Linked DNA regions of Oryzias latipes. The protein of the gene in region 2 purifies or fractionates together with the protein of the main gene of each other region. This does not show direct contact. Links are inferred from orthologs where the notes say so. Each region holds a gene or a part of one and is shown on either strand. Other genes may lie near its edges.

Region 1 (7,848 bases), on a different chromosome or scaffold from region 2:
GTTAGAGAGCCGTCATCGCCTTACGTGACCTCTCCTTCTCCGTTGTCGTCCTCTGAAGCTCAGCATGGAGAAGCTCTGCTGTGGACCGGCTGGTCGGAGAAACATCCGGAAGGCGCTGAGGGAACGGCCGGTGCTCCGTGGGATGATCCAGAAATGAGGTCCATGTGGGACGAGCACGCTTCAGAGATCTACTGCTCGTACTGGGAGAGATTCTCCTACTGGGCCTCGCAGGGTTGGACTATGGACGGGAACGGCGGTGGAGGAGAGGCAGCTGCTGAGACGGAAAACCGGCAGGAGGAGGAGCTGAGCACTCTGTTGGAGGGCAGCTGCACCTTCGCGGCAGACCAGGAGGCGAGCAGGGAAGGTGAGGGAGGCGGCCAGCAGCTGGAGGCGGAGCTTGGTGGATCTGAGCGCCCCAGTGACGGTGGGGGTGATGAGCAGAGACCAGCTGGCCCTCCACAGCAGCACACAGCTGAACAAACAGGTATGTGCATCACCTGACCAATTTCATGTCCCATTAGCTGTCACAAACTTGGCTGTGTGACCTTTTCTACACATGTGACCCCTCCCCCTGGGGGAGCGGTGAGCTGCAGACACAGCTGCCCAGTGGGAGCCATTTGCCGGTTTAACCCCCCCCCGATCCAACCCTTTAATGTTGAGTGCCAATGGGGTAGGCATTTTAGAGTCTTTGGATCTGAACTCACCTTCCAGTCTCAGGGGAGACACTCTACCTTAAGGCCACTGAGGAGATGCCCTTTTCTAAAGAAAACAAAGCCCCCTGCTGTTTTCACTCTGTTCAAATCCTCGTTTTCAGTCTCAAATGTTTGTTACCAGATTTAAATTTTTCCGTTTCTCTGCTGATAATTTTTCAGCTCTTGATGCCTATTGATGCAAATATTCATCAAACCACTTCTGCCTCAAAATCAAAGGGCCTAAAAAAAATCCACCTTTTGAGGTTTTAAGTGTATTATTATGTTCATTTCTCACATAGACGACCCAAAAGTTAAATTTTATCTGAGTAATCCTCTGAAAACCTGCTCTCTGAGCACCAGCCCCTCCAAATCCATGGAAACGGTTGGTTCCTTACACCAGTGTTTTTCAACCTTTTCTGATCCACGGCACACTTTAACCTTAAAAAAAATCCCGCGGCACACCAGCATCCAAGAAAAAAAAAAAAAAGGAGAAACTCATAGTCTGTATTGATCTACAGCCCCTCCACAGTCTCACATGCATTTTTGAGATAATTGTTGCAGAAAAAGCTGGAAACTGCAGCTGTTTTTTTCTAAAAGATGCAATAAAAGTTAAGTTAGAAGATTTAAAAACAGTTTGAAGTGTGTTCGTTGGTTTCAAGACGTTTAACAACAGATCTCCTTGTGCGCTGTCACTCTCATAACCCAATGCATCATGGGAGATGTAGTGCATAAAACGGCCGAAGATCGGTTTTCGGAGCTTCATTGTTTTGTTCACTTGTTCCACGGTCTGACACCAGATTATGTGGAAAGCTACAGCGCAAAAGACGAGCTTTAGCTGGTAGTTTTGTTAGAACTGAGCGACTTTACGAACTAAATCGGGACAAGGAAGTGAAGACTTTAACCACTTCTGATTGGTCAGACTGATGACATGTGATTAAGCCTTCAAGAATGATTGGTGGAGACAGTTAAAGGGGCGGGACTTTTCCAAAATACAGCCGGAGCTGCAGCTGAATCGTGGTAACGTCATTCTTATCAAAATGTCTTTAATAAAATAAAATAAACGCAAAGAAAAAGTATTTTACTATCTTTCATATTCCTAACTCCTCAGTGTTTTATCAGGACCTGTTTGGATGAACAAAGAGCTGAAATCCTGGAGATGGAAAATGTTTTTAGATCACTTAATGAGGGCAATTTCCCACGGCACATTTGACCATCTCCCACGGCACACTGGTTGAAAAACACTGCCTTACACTGTGACATCACAAAGTGAGGAACCGCCCCTTCCAGGAAGAGTCTGCGCTGTCAGCCCCGCCCCCAGACTAAAACACACGCCCACTTTCTCCGTGGAGCTAGCGGTCATCGGCTAAATGCTTTCCTTTTATATGAACAATATGCACATCTTTCTTTGTAAAAGTTCGGATGTTGTTTGTTTTCGGCTGTAGGTTGACAACATGAAATGGGCGTAACCCACACAGAGAGAAAGGCGGAGCCTCAGAAATCGAGTCGTCTTAATTCCGGGTTGGGAACTGAGCTGCAAAAATAACTCATATTTTATTTTAAAAAATGTTTGAAAGACATTTAAAAAAGCATTTTTATTGTTCCAAAGGTGATTTATTATCATATTTATGGATGTAGTTTACTCTGAAAGGCCTAAGAACAGCATGCTAAAGGCCCTTCAACTTAGTATCTACTTAAAAAACAAAAACGTAAGTGAATTTTTTTTCATAGCTGGAAATAAATATATAAAATAAATATATAAAATATATAAATAAAATTAAATATTCAGCAGATGTGTCCGTGACCCACAGCGGGACCTTTTCTGTCCGAAGCGTGACTCACTGTCCACAGTTTTCATTAAGACCTGAGCGTGTTTTACCTCTTTCAGCGTCATCTTTTCTATCTCCTTCTATGTTCCTGTAACACTTGACTGCAGGCGTCCTGGATCTCCTAACCCGTTTGGATGAAGACAGATCTGCTTTCTCATGTCGCAGAACTTTTCCCACAATGGGGAAAAGTAAAGAGGCCGGCCGGGCGGCGTCTTTAGGACCGGCTCTTTGTTATTTAGTGATGTTTTCAACAGTGTCTTTAATAATAAAAGTGAATACATTAATGATAAATATTGAGGGTGAGGTAAAAGTCGTACTTAAAACATCAGTTCATCAAATACTAGATCGGTTCTCTGTCAAAGCTGTATTGTTTCATTTCCATCAGTTAATGAGGAATTCTTTTGCTTTTCTTCATCATAAAAATTCACAACTTTTTTTACTTTAAAAGGTTTCTCTGAATAGAAATGGTTTTTAATGGAAATTAGATTTAAAAAGTCCTTTTTTTTAATTCAAATTGTGTTAAAATGAACGTGTGGTTTGTTGAATGAAAACAGAATCAGGGCCGTGTCAGATCATCGCCTCATGCCTTTGGTTTGATCTCAGTCTGTCAGCAGAACTCTGGCTCCTCTAACGGACATCATGACTCCAGAAAGCCGATTTCGCAAAGAGATGACGACGATGATGAGGACGAAGATGATGAAAACCCCAGGCGACAGACCAAAGTGAAGCGCAGGTGAGTATTCTCTGTTGTGCTGCTAAGTAGGGATGTAACGGACACGGATGTACATCAAGAATCGATCAAAATCTGGGAGTAGCAGCAGTGTCGGATAAAAAATACTGATAAGAATAAGGAATAATAAGGAAGAAGTGTTTTTTTCCTTCTCAGTCCTTTTTCAGGCGCAGCCGTTAGTGTTAGTGTTTCGCTCATGTCCAGATCTGCCAGGAGAGTCGATAGACTCGATAGACTGTCCTGGCAGATGCAGCCTGTGAAGAAACCTGAATCACATGTTCAGGTCCCTCCAGTCATGCGGCTAGAGACAGAGCTGTCCACATGATGGAATATTCGCTACAGAAAAAGCTCCTCTGGGACAATTCAAACACCAAATATGTTTGCAGAGACACAGGAGACCAATATCAGAAACTGTCCAGGAGTCAGTTAGGCTGTCTTTCTAAATAACACAGAAAAGAATCCCAAAAGTTTCTTTTTATTTTTACCTGGAAAACAATTGGGGTAAAAACCAACCCTGATCACGTGATAGTAGTGCAGCTCTTTAGTAAAGTTGTTAACAAAGTTTGAACTCATGAATCTTCAGACAATAACTCTGTCATTATGGGATCATTTTATTCAATAAATCAGGGTTTTGACTTGTTTTAGGGACCAGACTAGAAACATTATTTTACTGCAATGCCTTTTCAACTTGCATAGTGTTTTGGTTTTATTAGAGCTCAGTTTTCTGCATATTAAGCTTATGATTTGGCAAATGGGCGGAGCTTACAAACTCTCACTTTAGTCGCCAATCGCCAACCTTCGGTTCCTGCAGTTGATGCAAACCGGGAAGCATTAAATAGTGCAGTTCATGAAAAGACCACTAGAGGCTGGTGGCAGAAGGGAGCAGCTTTTACATTTTGGTTGAGGTTTTAAACTAAAAGTATATTCATGTTTGTTTGTTTTTGCTTTTTTGTTTCTTTCTGCTGCACTCAGACAGACTTTCTGTGTGGTTTCTGATAAATTTAGTAAAGGTATTTATTCATAAAAGATTATACAAGATGTCTATTGGTTTTGCTTGAAGCGCTGATGCTTACAAAGGCACTAAAGCTGTGTTTAGTTTTGTCATTTTGTACTTTGGATTTTTTTTAAAACTACATGAAGGTAAAGAAGTCAGGTCCTCCCCAAACACTGTATAGGAATTTAAAGCTAAACTTATTTAGTTGCCCAAAATAAGACCAAACATTACAGCTGGGTATCACCTTCAAACCTCTAAATCCAGAGGCTGGTCAATATTTAATACGTTCCCAACGTTGTGTTCTGTAATGTTTGTGGATAAAGTAGGAAGAATAGAACAGACGGGTGATGTTGTGACGAACAAAAACTAAACGGATCATGTCTGTGACACGGACACTTTGTGGCTCTTCATCATTTAATTGCAGCTCATCTTCTAGTTTTCATGAACACATGACGAGTTCTTTGCTTCTGTAGTTCTTGAAATTATCAGAAAGAAAATCGCGGAAAATATTTCAATAAAGATCACCCGGCTTTTTGTTTGTTTCATTTAGGCCTTCACAATGATTCGCAAATTTATCGATATCGCGATATTAAGCTGTGCAGTGTGCATATCGCAATGGATGGCAAAAATAAATGGTTACTTTAAATGTGCTAAAACAATCTTATGGCAGCTTGAAGTATTTAGCGAATCAAAATAAATCCCTTTATGCATCAGATCAGATGGAGCCCTTTTATGTTAGCTGTTCTATGTAGACGAGGGTCATTTCGAGTATAAAGTTATGTTGACTCTTATTTCAATTAAATTGCAGTGAAATAGAAATGTTGTATTTGGTTGTTTTGCTATGTGTTCGTAAATCGCAATATATATCGTCGTCGCAATATTGATTACTAATATTGCATATCGTGAGTTTTCCTCCTATCGTGCAGCTCTAGTCTCTTTGTTTGTTTTCATATTTTTTTCTTTTAATACACACAAAAACCATTTTATTTTAATGTAATGCAATAGGCTTCCATGTGATCCCTCACCATTACCAAAAGAAAGTCCCCATTTCCTTGTTTTAGTTATCAATAGGATCAATAATGATCAATAACATGTGGAAAGCGCATTGATATGAGTTTAGCTTCAATAACTTCAGAAAATTAGAGGTCATGTCACAAAGACCGGACCAAAGTTTTATAACGGCAGCTGCTCATCTGGTTCAACTGGACCTGTGGGCGCTTTCTGTCCCAGCCTGTCAACACGCCATGTCTGTGTTTGTAGCCACGAGCAGGACGAGGAGGAGTTCCCGCAGCTCACCCCCCAGGAAGCCTGGACCGAGCTCGGACTCCGACACGACCCGGGCCTGACGTGAGTCCGCTCTCTTTAATTCCCTCTTTTATGCTCGTCACGGAGAAAAAGCACACCCATGAGCAGCAGGACTCTGAAGGAGCCCCCAGCAGCACCCTTCCCCCTCCAAACATGGTTCCAGAGACAACAGTCAGTTTACAAATGAGACAATGCTACTTGTAAGCAGGACCTGTCAGCCCCAACATCAATAAAAGCCCCCCCACAAAAAGTGCCTGAAATTTTACTTTTTTCTCTCAAAACTCCAAAATTGATTTCAAAATCGCAGTTATTGAACCTTTTTTATAGAAAGCACTCGAGATGATGATCAGTACAGAGCTCTGGCCTTAACCTTAGGTTGGCCTTAAGTTGTTGCTGACTCACATCTAGCTCTGTTAGCTCCAGAAGGATGAAGCAGGACAAAGCTAACAGACTCAGGCCAATTTGCTCCAGGCAGATGATGCAGGATGAGGCCCAGGTCTAATAGCTCCAGGAGGATGGTGCAGGGCGGGGCCCAGGTCTAATAGCTCCAGGACGATGGTGCAGGGCGGGGCCCAGGTCTAATAGCTCCAGGAGGATGGTGCAGGGCGGGGCCCAGGTCTAAAAGCACCAGGAGGATGGTGCAGGGCGGGGCCCAGGTCTAATAGCTCCAGGAGGATGGTGCAGGGCAGGGCCCAGGTCTAATAGCTCCAGGAGGATGGTGCAGGGCGGGGCCCAGGTCTAATAGCTCCAGGAGGATGGTGCAGGGCGGGGCCCAGGTCTAATAGCTCCAGGAGGATGGTGCAGGGCGGGGCCCAGGTCTAAAAGCACCAGGAGGATGGTGCAGGGCGGGGCCCAGGTCTAATAGCTCCAGGAGGATGGTGCAGGGCGGGGCCCAGGTCTAATAGCTCCAGGAGGATGGTGCAGGGCGGGGCTCAGGGCCTGTTAGTTCCAGGAGGATGGTGCAGGGCGGGGCCCAGGTCTAATAGCTCCAGGAGGATGGTGCAGGGCGGGGCCCAGGTCTAATAGCTCCAGGAGGATGGTGCAGGGCGGGGCCCAGGTCTAATAGCTCCAGGAGGATGGTGCAGGGCGGGGCTCAGGGCCTGTTAGTTCCAGGAGGATGATGCAGGGCGGGGCCCAGGTCTAATAGCTCCAGGAGGGCGGTAAAGGATGAGGCTCAAAAATTAAATGGCTGGAACCAGCTCAGTGAGCTCAGATGAAGAGTGTTTTTAACATTTCAGGTTTTAAAATATAGTCTTGCATTTAACATATTGAACTAGCTTTATTCTTGCATGCTATAGGTCCTTTGAAGGCTCACTGTATTCTCCTAAATTGAAACCATGTGAACAGGTTAACAGCACAAATAGTTATCTTATTCTGACATTGGTTTTGATCACAGAAACAAATAAATCTGTTCTTCTTGTCCTGCCCTTAAGGCTCTTCAGGTCAAGTAACCGCAAGCTGTTTTCACAGGTTAGGAAGCTTAGACTAGCTTATAATGCAATTCAGCCACTCACCAAAAAGTATAGGGGACACATATTACTGATTTTGTGACAGGAGCCTGGGGGCCGGTGGAATTCTGAACGCAGCATTTGTTCCACAGGCCAGACTTTAAGTAAAAAAGCCCTGAAAGTGCAGGTGAGGCTGCCTTATGGATGCATGTGTGAATAACCGTGCAGTGACCACACAGCAGAAGCCGGGTCTGTGTTCCTTCTGCAGGTTCGACAGTGTGTTGAGCTTCAAAGGTCCAGGTTCTCTGCGTCAGAAGAAGCAGAGGAAGACGAAGAGGAGCGTCTGCGGCGTCAACAAGCACATCAGGTTCCCTGAGGCGGGTGAAGCCATCACACCATCACAGAGCAGCAGCGCCGTTCAAAAGGTACTCCTCCCTGTTTGACACTGTTAGAGGTCCGCTGTTACTGCTGGACGGAGGTTTCTGATCTTCTCCATTCTCGCATAGAGTATGAATGAAGTAGACCCAAAGCTATTTATCATTTACAACACTGAGGATAGGTGATGGCAGGAAACGATGGGACCACCCGCTCACCTCTCTGGACCCATCCACGAACTGACAGTTTATACAAAGCTGCTGTGGAAACGAGCAGAAGACTTTTAGAAACAAATTATGTAATAAAGAACCTCACAACACATCTCATTTGTGATTTATTTTCATGAAAAAAAAAATTTAAATTACAAAATATAAGGACAATTCAAAACTGCAGGAATTTATGTCTCAGATTTTTGTCACTCTTGGTTTCATTTTTCCGCTGATGACCCAGTTTGACCTTTAGCTGGCGCACAGTACAC
Region 2 (7,948 bases):
ATGATACATGCCTACTGGCCAAAAAAAAACTCAATGCACTCCATGACCACCTGGCAGCACAAATGAACCAGCTGCTAAGAGCTGGGATTCATCCCGAAAGGCTTTTACAAGAATAGAATATTAGAAGAAAGCCTATGACTAAATGCTGCACATATGGACCACTAATACTTGGAGCCGTATAACATCAACATCCTTCATAGGAAACTCAATGAAGTTGTGGAAAACACCCTTGAAGCCAATGGCAAGCCATTTGCACCATCAAATGTGGCATATACCAAGGTGACGCTCTGTTCCCACTGCTGTTCTGCATAGATCTGAACCCCCTCTGCCAAATAATCAACAAGACTGGCTATGGATACCGACTCAGAAATGGGGCCACCATCAGTCACGTCCTCTACATGGATGACATCAAGCTATATGCAAAGAGTGAGCGTGACATTGACTCCCTGATCCACACCACCAGGATCTACAGTACTGACATTGGGATGTCATTCGACCTCAAGAAATGTAGCCAGGTGGTGGCAAAGAGAGGCAAGGTAGTCCACACAGGAGGGGTCTCACTCCCAGAAGGAACAATAGCAAACATTGAGGACAGTTACAAGTACCTTGGAATTCCATGGGCAAATGGCAACCTGGAGTAGGCAACAAGGAAAGCTGCAGTAGCCAAAAACCTCCAACGAGTAAGGCAAGTCTTGAGAAGCCTGCTCAATGGCAAGAACAAGACCTGGGCAATAAAGGGTTACACACTACCAGTTATCAGATACCCTGCAGAAATAATAAGATTACCAAAGGAAGAGATAGAAACCACGGATGTTAAGACCCGAAAGCTCCTCACATTATATGGAGGGTTCCATCCCAAATCCAGCATCCTGAGACTGTATGCTAGCTGCAAGGAAGGAGGCCGAGGACTGGTGAGCGTGGAAGCCACTATCCAGGGTGAAACATGTGCTCAGTGAATGTCTCAGGAAATGGAGAGAAGTTTTTAGAAATGCCAAACTTCACACATATACAGAGAGAGGCAGAGAACGGACAACTAGATAGAAAATAGAGCAAGCTAATGGAGAGATGTCTTATATCTTGCAGCACTAGAGAATACAATTTTTTTTATTGCTGTCGCCTTCGTGTTGCCTGCTTCTTTTCAATGGACAAATATACCACTTCTATGGTGTCAATTCAGCGCCTTAAGTATTGTGCATCAAAACTGTAAAACCGCGCATCAAAAAACAAACCCCAAATCTGCTAATCAAAATGCATAAATTGAGAACCAAAACCTATAATTTGCAACCAATAGCTATAACCCAAAACACAATCATATTTCTCAGTTGCCAATTTGTCTTCTCGCCATTCTGAAATCGTCTTTTTGAGTTGTAGTTTTATTTTGAAATCCTCTTTTTGAGTTGCGCTTTTATTTTTTGCGGTTTTGATTCTAAAACCTGTCGACACGTAAAATCATCCTCGTCATCCAGTAGCTCATTGGCTACCGAATAACTCAGTCTTACGTCAACATACCAGTTTCGGAAGGTGAGTTTTTCATATTTTTCAAATCTTTTTCTATATTAAAGCTATATTAGAGCTCCACCAGTAGCTGCTAGTGAAAAAAAAGATGTTAGAAAGTAAGATGTTGCATGAAAAACTATCGCCATTCATTGTACAAAATGTTCTCCTGTGGTAGCCATGCTAGCTAGCTCAATGGTAGTGCTGTTTCCGGCTCATTTCATAACTTTTACGGATTAAAAAAAGTCAATTTTTTACGACAGTGGCCGGGATAGGCTCTGGCAGCCCTGTGACCCCGAAAGGGAAAACGGGATTAGAAGATGAATGAATGAATGAGTTTCAGCAAGGGGACGGAAGGCAGATTGGAAAAGTTCATACAGATTATTGGAGGAAATATCATGAGCATGAAGCTGAGCAGATACTATTTTCTCAAGAATTTTTTAAATGAATGGAAGGTTGGAAATGGGACGGTAATTATTGAGGTCTGTGGGATCTGAACCCAATTATTTAAGTATGGGAGTGACAGCAGCAGTTTTCAGTGCAGAAGGAACAATTCCAGAGGAATGAAGCATGGATTATGTTGGTGATGAGAGGACAAAGAGAAGGAGCAGTAGCTTTAACAAGGATGGTGGGCAGTGGGTCAAGCTGGCATGTGGAAGGTTAGGATTTTTTGAATTAATGTAGAGATTTGACTAACTGTGGGTAGGGTAAATGAAGAAAACCAAATATCAGACTTAAAAGACGGAATGGAAAATAGAAATGGAGCAGAGTAGGGGGTAAACTGTTGATGGATTTTTGTGGTGAAAAATGAAGCCAAGGTGTTGCAGAAATCAGTTGAATAGAGGTGTGATGGAAGGGAGTTAGGAGGTTTGATGATGTTAGAGATGAGGGAGAAAAGAATCATTGATTATTTTTTATTTTAATTGATTAGATTGGAGTCGTAGGCAGATTTGGTTTTTGAGATGCAGTCTTTATAGTAAAGAATGTGCTGTATGTACATGTACCTGTGCGCTCACAGACACTGCAAGTGTATGAGCAGGATGACGTTCATGTTAAAAATAATGTACGCCGGAGACTATCGTGTCGTTTGAAAACTATAAATGTTACTCTGAAGTCCATCGGACAGTTGCGATCAAAAACAGCTGACATCAGTATGAACGAGTATAAACCAGCCCTTTTCTGATTTTGCTTGGTTATTATTCAACAAACTGAACGTATAAATTCCTAAATGTCAGTCACTGCGACGTAGGGGTGTGTATTGGCAAGAGTCTGCCTATAAGATACTTATCCCAATACTCGTCCCACAATACGATATGTATTGTGATATTTAACCGGAACACATTTTCTTTCTTTTTTTAAATATGACTTGAAAAAACTCTACCAGAATTTCAATACGTCTTTCGTTGTAAAAAATAATTGTAAAATTTAGTTTATTTAATGATCACAATGTTAATAATATATATATAAGTTGATTTTACCCAAGCAAATTCATAGTGCTTTTATTTAGGTAACTTCAAATATATAAAGGGAACAGTCAACAAGTATTTTGACAACAAAATAATTTTCAGAACAAGAAAAAAAATGGAATGACTGTGCCTTAACCAAAAAAGTATGATTTAGGAAATAAATAAATGTTTATTTTTCTACATTAAAGTAAATTCTCAAGTACCTTTAAACAGTTCAGGAGCCTGAATGGTGCTTCAAAAATAAAGGGGGGAAAAAACGAATTATTTCCAAAAACAATAGAGTGTGATGAGGCAGCATGACAGGGTGGAGAATCTTTAATGTGGCTATGCTTTATTTACATACATAATATTTGAGCGAACCCCTATACTACAGTCACAGGGCCCAATGAACTACTGTGAATGACGCTGCCCCCTCTATGCTGACAATCCAAAGAAAGGCTCTTTCCTCACAGCAAGAAAGCTCCCAGTTCAAGTCCCGGCTGGGGGACCTGAAACAGAACATCAGTGGGGGACCTTTCTGTGTGGAGTTTGCATGTTCTCCCTGTGCATGCATGGATTTTCTACGGGGACTCCAAAAACATGCTTCATAGGTTAATTGGTTACTCGAAATTGTCCCTAGGATGCATGGGTGTGTGATTGTGGCCCTGCGATAGACTTGCGACCTGTCCAGGGTTGTACCCTGCCTTCGCCTGCAAGTGGCTGGGATAGGCTCTGGCAGCCCTGTGACCCCGAAAGGGAAAAAACAGATTAGAAAATGAACGAATGAATGTTTACGTATGTATTTTGAGCATAAACAAAACTAAATATTTTAGTTGCCAAAACACTTTACACCTGCCTTTTTTTTAAATGGGCACCATCACACTTCTCCATTCCTTAGGCATCTTCTCACATTCTAACATCCTGTTGAACAACTCAGTCAAAAGCTCCACTGCCATCTCTCCTAGACACTTTATTTTTGTTGGACTTTTTATTCTAAGCGGGGGTAGTCTGTGCAGAGACATGTCCAGAGCTACAGGGGGCAGCACCTCTGGAACAGAGCGGCGGAACGCCCCGACTTCGTTTGAAAACGGAAGTCGTTCCCTGCTGCAAAGAATAAGAAGCGCACGTGGCCACGCAGCTCGCACGCGCGGTTGGACCCGGACGGTTCGAAGAATCAGAGGTCAACTTTCCCGGTTCTTAAAGCTATCATGAAGCCAGGTAATATCGTAAGCTCCGCCCGGATGTATCTATAATGTCAATATCTCAGCTCCGAAATAAAGCATTTTTTGCGTTAGGGAAGGAGGGGGGTAACAACAGAAGTTGCCTCGTGCGCCGATAAGTTACATGTTGGTAATAATCAAACCGATTTCCCATCATGCTCGGCAGCGGCGTCTACGAAGCCCCTAAATTTTATTCAGATGGTTCGTGTTTTGGTGGGGGGGCTTCTCGCTAATACTCCCGAACCGTGAATGTTATGGGTCAGAACGACGGAAAGGACAAACTCTCCATTCCGAACCCAAAAGCTAAGATTCTCCCCGAAACCAAACCACGAAGTCTGCGGTCACGTGATTTTTATTAGGATTAGATTACCTTTTTTTTAAGGACGTCGCTGTGTTGTCTCTAATGACTCTTGTTTGAAAAAAAAAAAGAGAGATTTTGTTTATGAACAGCCACTGGCCCTCTTTACAGCTCATGATTGGTCACGGCAGGCAGAAAACCACGCCCCCAATTTGGGGCAATTTTAATTATTCATTTAAAATAAGTCTCCAAACTCCTATCTCAAACAATATAGTTAAACTTTGTATACAATCTAGACGAATTGGACGATCTCTGACTTCACTGGTTGGACTGAAACATAAAGTGAGGGGGGGACAGAGTTAAGTCCCCCACAGGTGTTGACTTTTGGGCAGGACCAAGGCCCCACCCTCCATTCGAAATCCAAAGTGTTTCAAGTCCCACTACGATCATCATTGGATCTATTTTCAAAGTGTTCCCAGTGGTCTTTTAATTCTGATTTTGTCGTTTTCAGGCAAGATCCATAAACTGTTGTTTCCTAGGACATAGTTCCTGCAGAGCAGCAGGAGTTCATTAAAAATTCACCTCTGAGTTGTAGGCGGGACTGTAGGCGTGGAGTTAGTGAGACCACCTGACTGCAATCTTTCATGTGTTGTGTGTTTCAGGATTCAGTCCCCGTGGAGACAGAGGAGGAAGAGGAGGAGGAGGATGGGGTGGAGGACGAGGGGGGTTCAGTGACCGAGGAGGAAGAGGGGGGTTCGGTGACCGTGGAGGAAGAGGCGGGTTCAGAGGTGGACGAGGTAAGAACGGCGCCGTAGTTCCGTTCCGTAGACAGCCAGCAGAAGGATCTGTTACTCACAAAAGCCTCTTTTTAGGTGGAGGATTCCGGTCCCCCGACGGTGGAGGGTTTCGAGGACGCGGGGGCGGCAGAGGAACCCCAAGAGGACGAGGAGGGAGAGGAGGCCGTGGAGGGTTTGGAGGAGGGAAGAAGGTGGTGATAGAGCCGCACAGACATGAAGGTACTTATGGACTCCTGATGATGATCTTTTCCATTTTAAACAGGCGTCTAAAAGCTGATTTCTACCTGCGGTGCGTCTGCGATGTGGTGACACAAGAAATGTGCCAATCAGAATGTTTACACCGTCTCCGTCACATGTCCGTCCCTCCACAACCCAGGCTTTACGCAGCAGTTCTATTTTCTGCCAATCGACGCTTCAAATTCGTCCCTAAAAGCCGGGAAACGGATCCGGGTTTAAAGATAAAATCTTCTGTTGTATTTTCAAAATAAAACTTTCTAAGACTTCATATTTACAGTGACGTGTTCACATGATGACGCACGTCAACACCGCCGCTAACACCACCACGGACGAGGAAAGTTTAATTGTGGAGGTTAAAAAACACATGTATGACACAAAATGTGTATTTTACAAGGACTCAGTGAGGAAGAGGAGGGTACGGGGTTTGATCGTTTAAGTATTGGATGAGCAAAGAGACACGGGGTTGAAAGGCCAATCCACTCCTCCAGGGGGAGGGTCTTGAAACAAACTCCTCAAACAGCGCGACGGCGGCACACTGCAGAGGGAGCAGTGTAAATTCAGGGTTACTCTTCACCCAAAGCTCATCATGCACGCATGAAAAAGCAAACAAGATGAAAACGACAGAGAATCCTCATTCAAATGTAGACGCAGCAGGTCAGTCTGAACGGACAGAAAGACACGACTACCCCCAAACCATCCTCTAGTTGTTTTTAACATTGAGGGAGGCTTTGTCCTGAAATGAAATGGACTTGGTTCTGTTGTTCTAGAAACCACCAAACAGAACCGGCTTTTTTTTTTTTTTTTAACTGGGGTCTTTGGAGAGTACGTGGAGCATGAACATTTAAAGTTTCCGTAGAAAGAATGTTCTGTTTGAACAGAAAGATGTCTTCCACCAAATTTCATCAAAGCTCTGCTTACAGTTGTCTGGATGAGCTGAAGGCTTTTCAGAGCTGTTCTGGAACAGCCCAGTCATCAGGAAGTTCCATCACAGATGCATGGACTAGTTTCTGTACGGCAGGACTCGTGCTGTTTCAGGGTTTCCTCGAGTTAAAGGTCATGTTGCTGTGGTGAGAGTCTGAAACTGACGTAGGAGAGTTAAGTCAGTTTGCTTCAGATGTTTGTCATGGATGGTTCCTCTGAAGTGAGTCATTACTACTCTACAGGTCTATAGTGAAGAGCTGAACAGCTCTGTTTCTTAGCTGAGTTAAAGGTAATGTAAATGTGACGTCTTTAGAGGAATGAACAGGGGTCTGCAACCACAGGCGGCCCCTTTAACAGTCTGTGGTAGCTCTTTGGCTTTAACCTCTTCAGATCTGTGTGTGGACATCACAGTTAAATTGGGTTAGATGACCACATTTCTGCTTAAACTGAGCCCTGTAATTACTTGATTCGAGGGTTATCTCAAACATTAGCCTGGGTCTTAAGAGGTTTAAACAACGCACAACGATGTCTGGTTGTTGTTCAGAGTTTTTGAAGTCTGTATTTTGCATTTACACGAGTGGATTTAAAAAATTGTTTTCTACACCTATGTTTAGTTTTGACAGTAAAAGAAATAAACAGGATGAAAGCGCACCAAAGTCATGACAGAAAATGTCACGTTTGACCTGTTTTTTGTGTATTTTTATTGTAAGTAAATCTGCTGCATCAGAAGGATCTTATTTGACACAGCGTGCACTTTATTTTGAAAGGAACACAGATCTGCTGCTGTAAAGAGTAAAGAAGTTCCAGATGTTATCTATAGAAAAATATAAGATTTTAGAAATATTTAAAAGGTAAATCTTACAAAGGAATGGGTGTAAAAAGGTGTATTTTTCTAAAAGGTTAAGTGGGACGGCCCTTTGAGCGTTTCAGAATGAAGATGTAAGGAGGTTATGTATGTGGGTCTGACGGTCTGGGTCGTGGTTTCTTCCAGGGGTGTTTATCTGCAGAGGGAAGGAGGATGCCCTCGTCACCAAAAACATGGTGGTGGGAGAGTCTGTGTACGGGGAGAAGAGGATGAGCGTGGAGGTAAAGAGCCGCTTCTGTATTGTGAGGTTGTCCCTGTAGCTCCAGTGCTGAAGGGTTGGTTAACCCTCAGCCTCTGGTCCCTGCAACAGCAAAGTGTAAAAACTGAAACCATAACTCCTGTTTTTAAAATGTTTGGATCCTTTCCTGCTAGATGACGTAAACTCTTGGCTGGCTTCTGCAGCAGAGCTGGACTTGGTGGATTTTTCTTCTGGAAGATGATTGTGGATTTCCTGTTTTTGATCAGGAGGGTGATACTAAGATTGAGTACAGAGCCTGGAATCCTTTCCGCTCCAAACTAGCAGCTGCCATTCTTGGAGGAGTTGACCAGATTCACATCAAACCCGGAGCCAAGGTCATGTACCTTGGAGCCGCATCGGGAACCACGGTGTCCCACGTCTCTGACATCGTTGGGCCAGTAAGTACATTTCAGAAGTAATCGCATTGTTGTTG

The links.
Region 1: the proteins of fbl (region 2) and tgs1 purify together in Homo sapiens (affinity purification with mass spectrometry; 3 studies listed by BioGRID and IntAct, counting the BioPlex papers as one, with this or other methods). This does not show direct contact. The link is inferred for Oryzias latipes from reciprocal best matches to the Homo sapiens genes FBL and TGS1.

The regions. Positions count from the first base shown.
Region 1 is NC_019875.2:5,126,052-5,133,899, forward strand, and holds part of tgs1 (trimethylguanosine synthase), read left to right. Parts: intron 1-58; coding exon 59-484; intron 485-3,121; coding exon 3,122-3,251; intron 3,252-5,502; coding exon 5,503-5,589; intron 5,590-7,263; coding exon 7,264-7,420; intron 7,421-7,848. UniProt on the Homo sapiens protein: Catalyzes the 2 serial methylation steps for the conversion of the 7-monomethylguanosine (m(7)G) caps of snRNAs and snoRNAs to a 2,2,7-trimethylguanosine (m(2,2,7)G) cap structure.
Region 2 is NC_019874.2:7,455,247-7,463,194, forward strand, and holds the start of fbl (rRNA 2'-O-methyltransferase fibrillarin), read left to right. Parts: upstream 1-4,028; 5' UTR 4,029-4,147; coding exon 4,148-4,157; intron 4,158-5,119; coding exon 5,120-5,254; intron 5,255-5,329; coding exon 5,330-5,473; intron 5,474-7,403; coding exon 7,404-7,498; intron 7,499-7,742; coding exon 7,743-7,913; intron 7,914-7,948.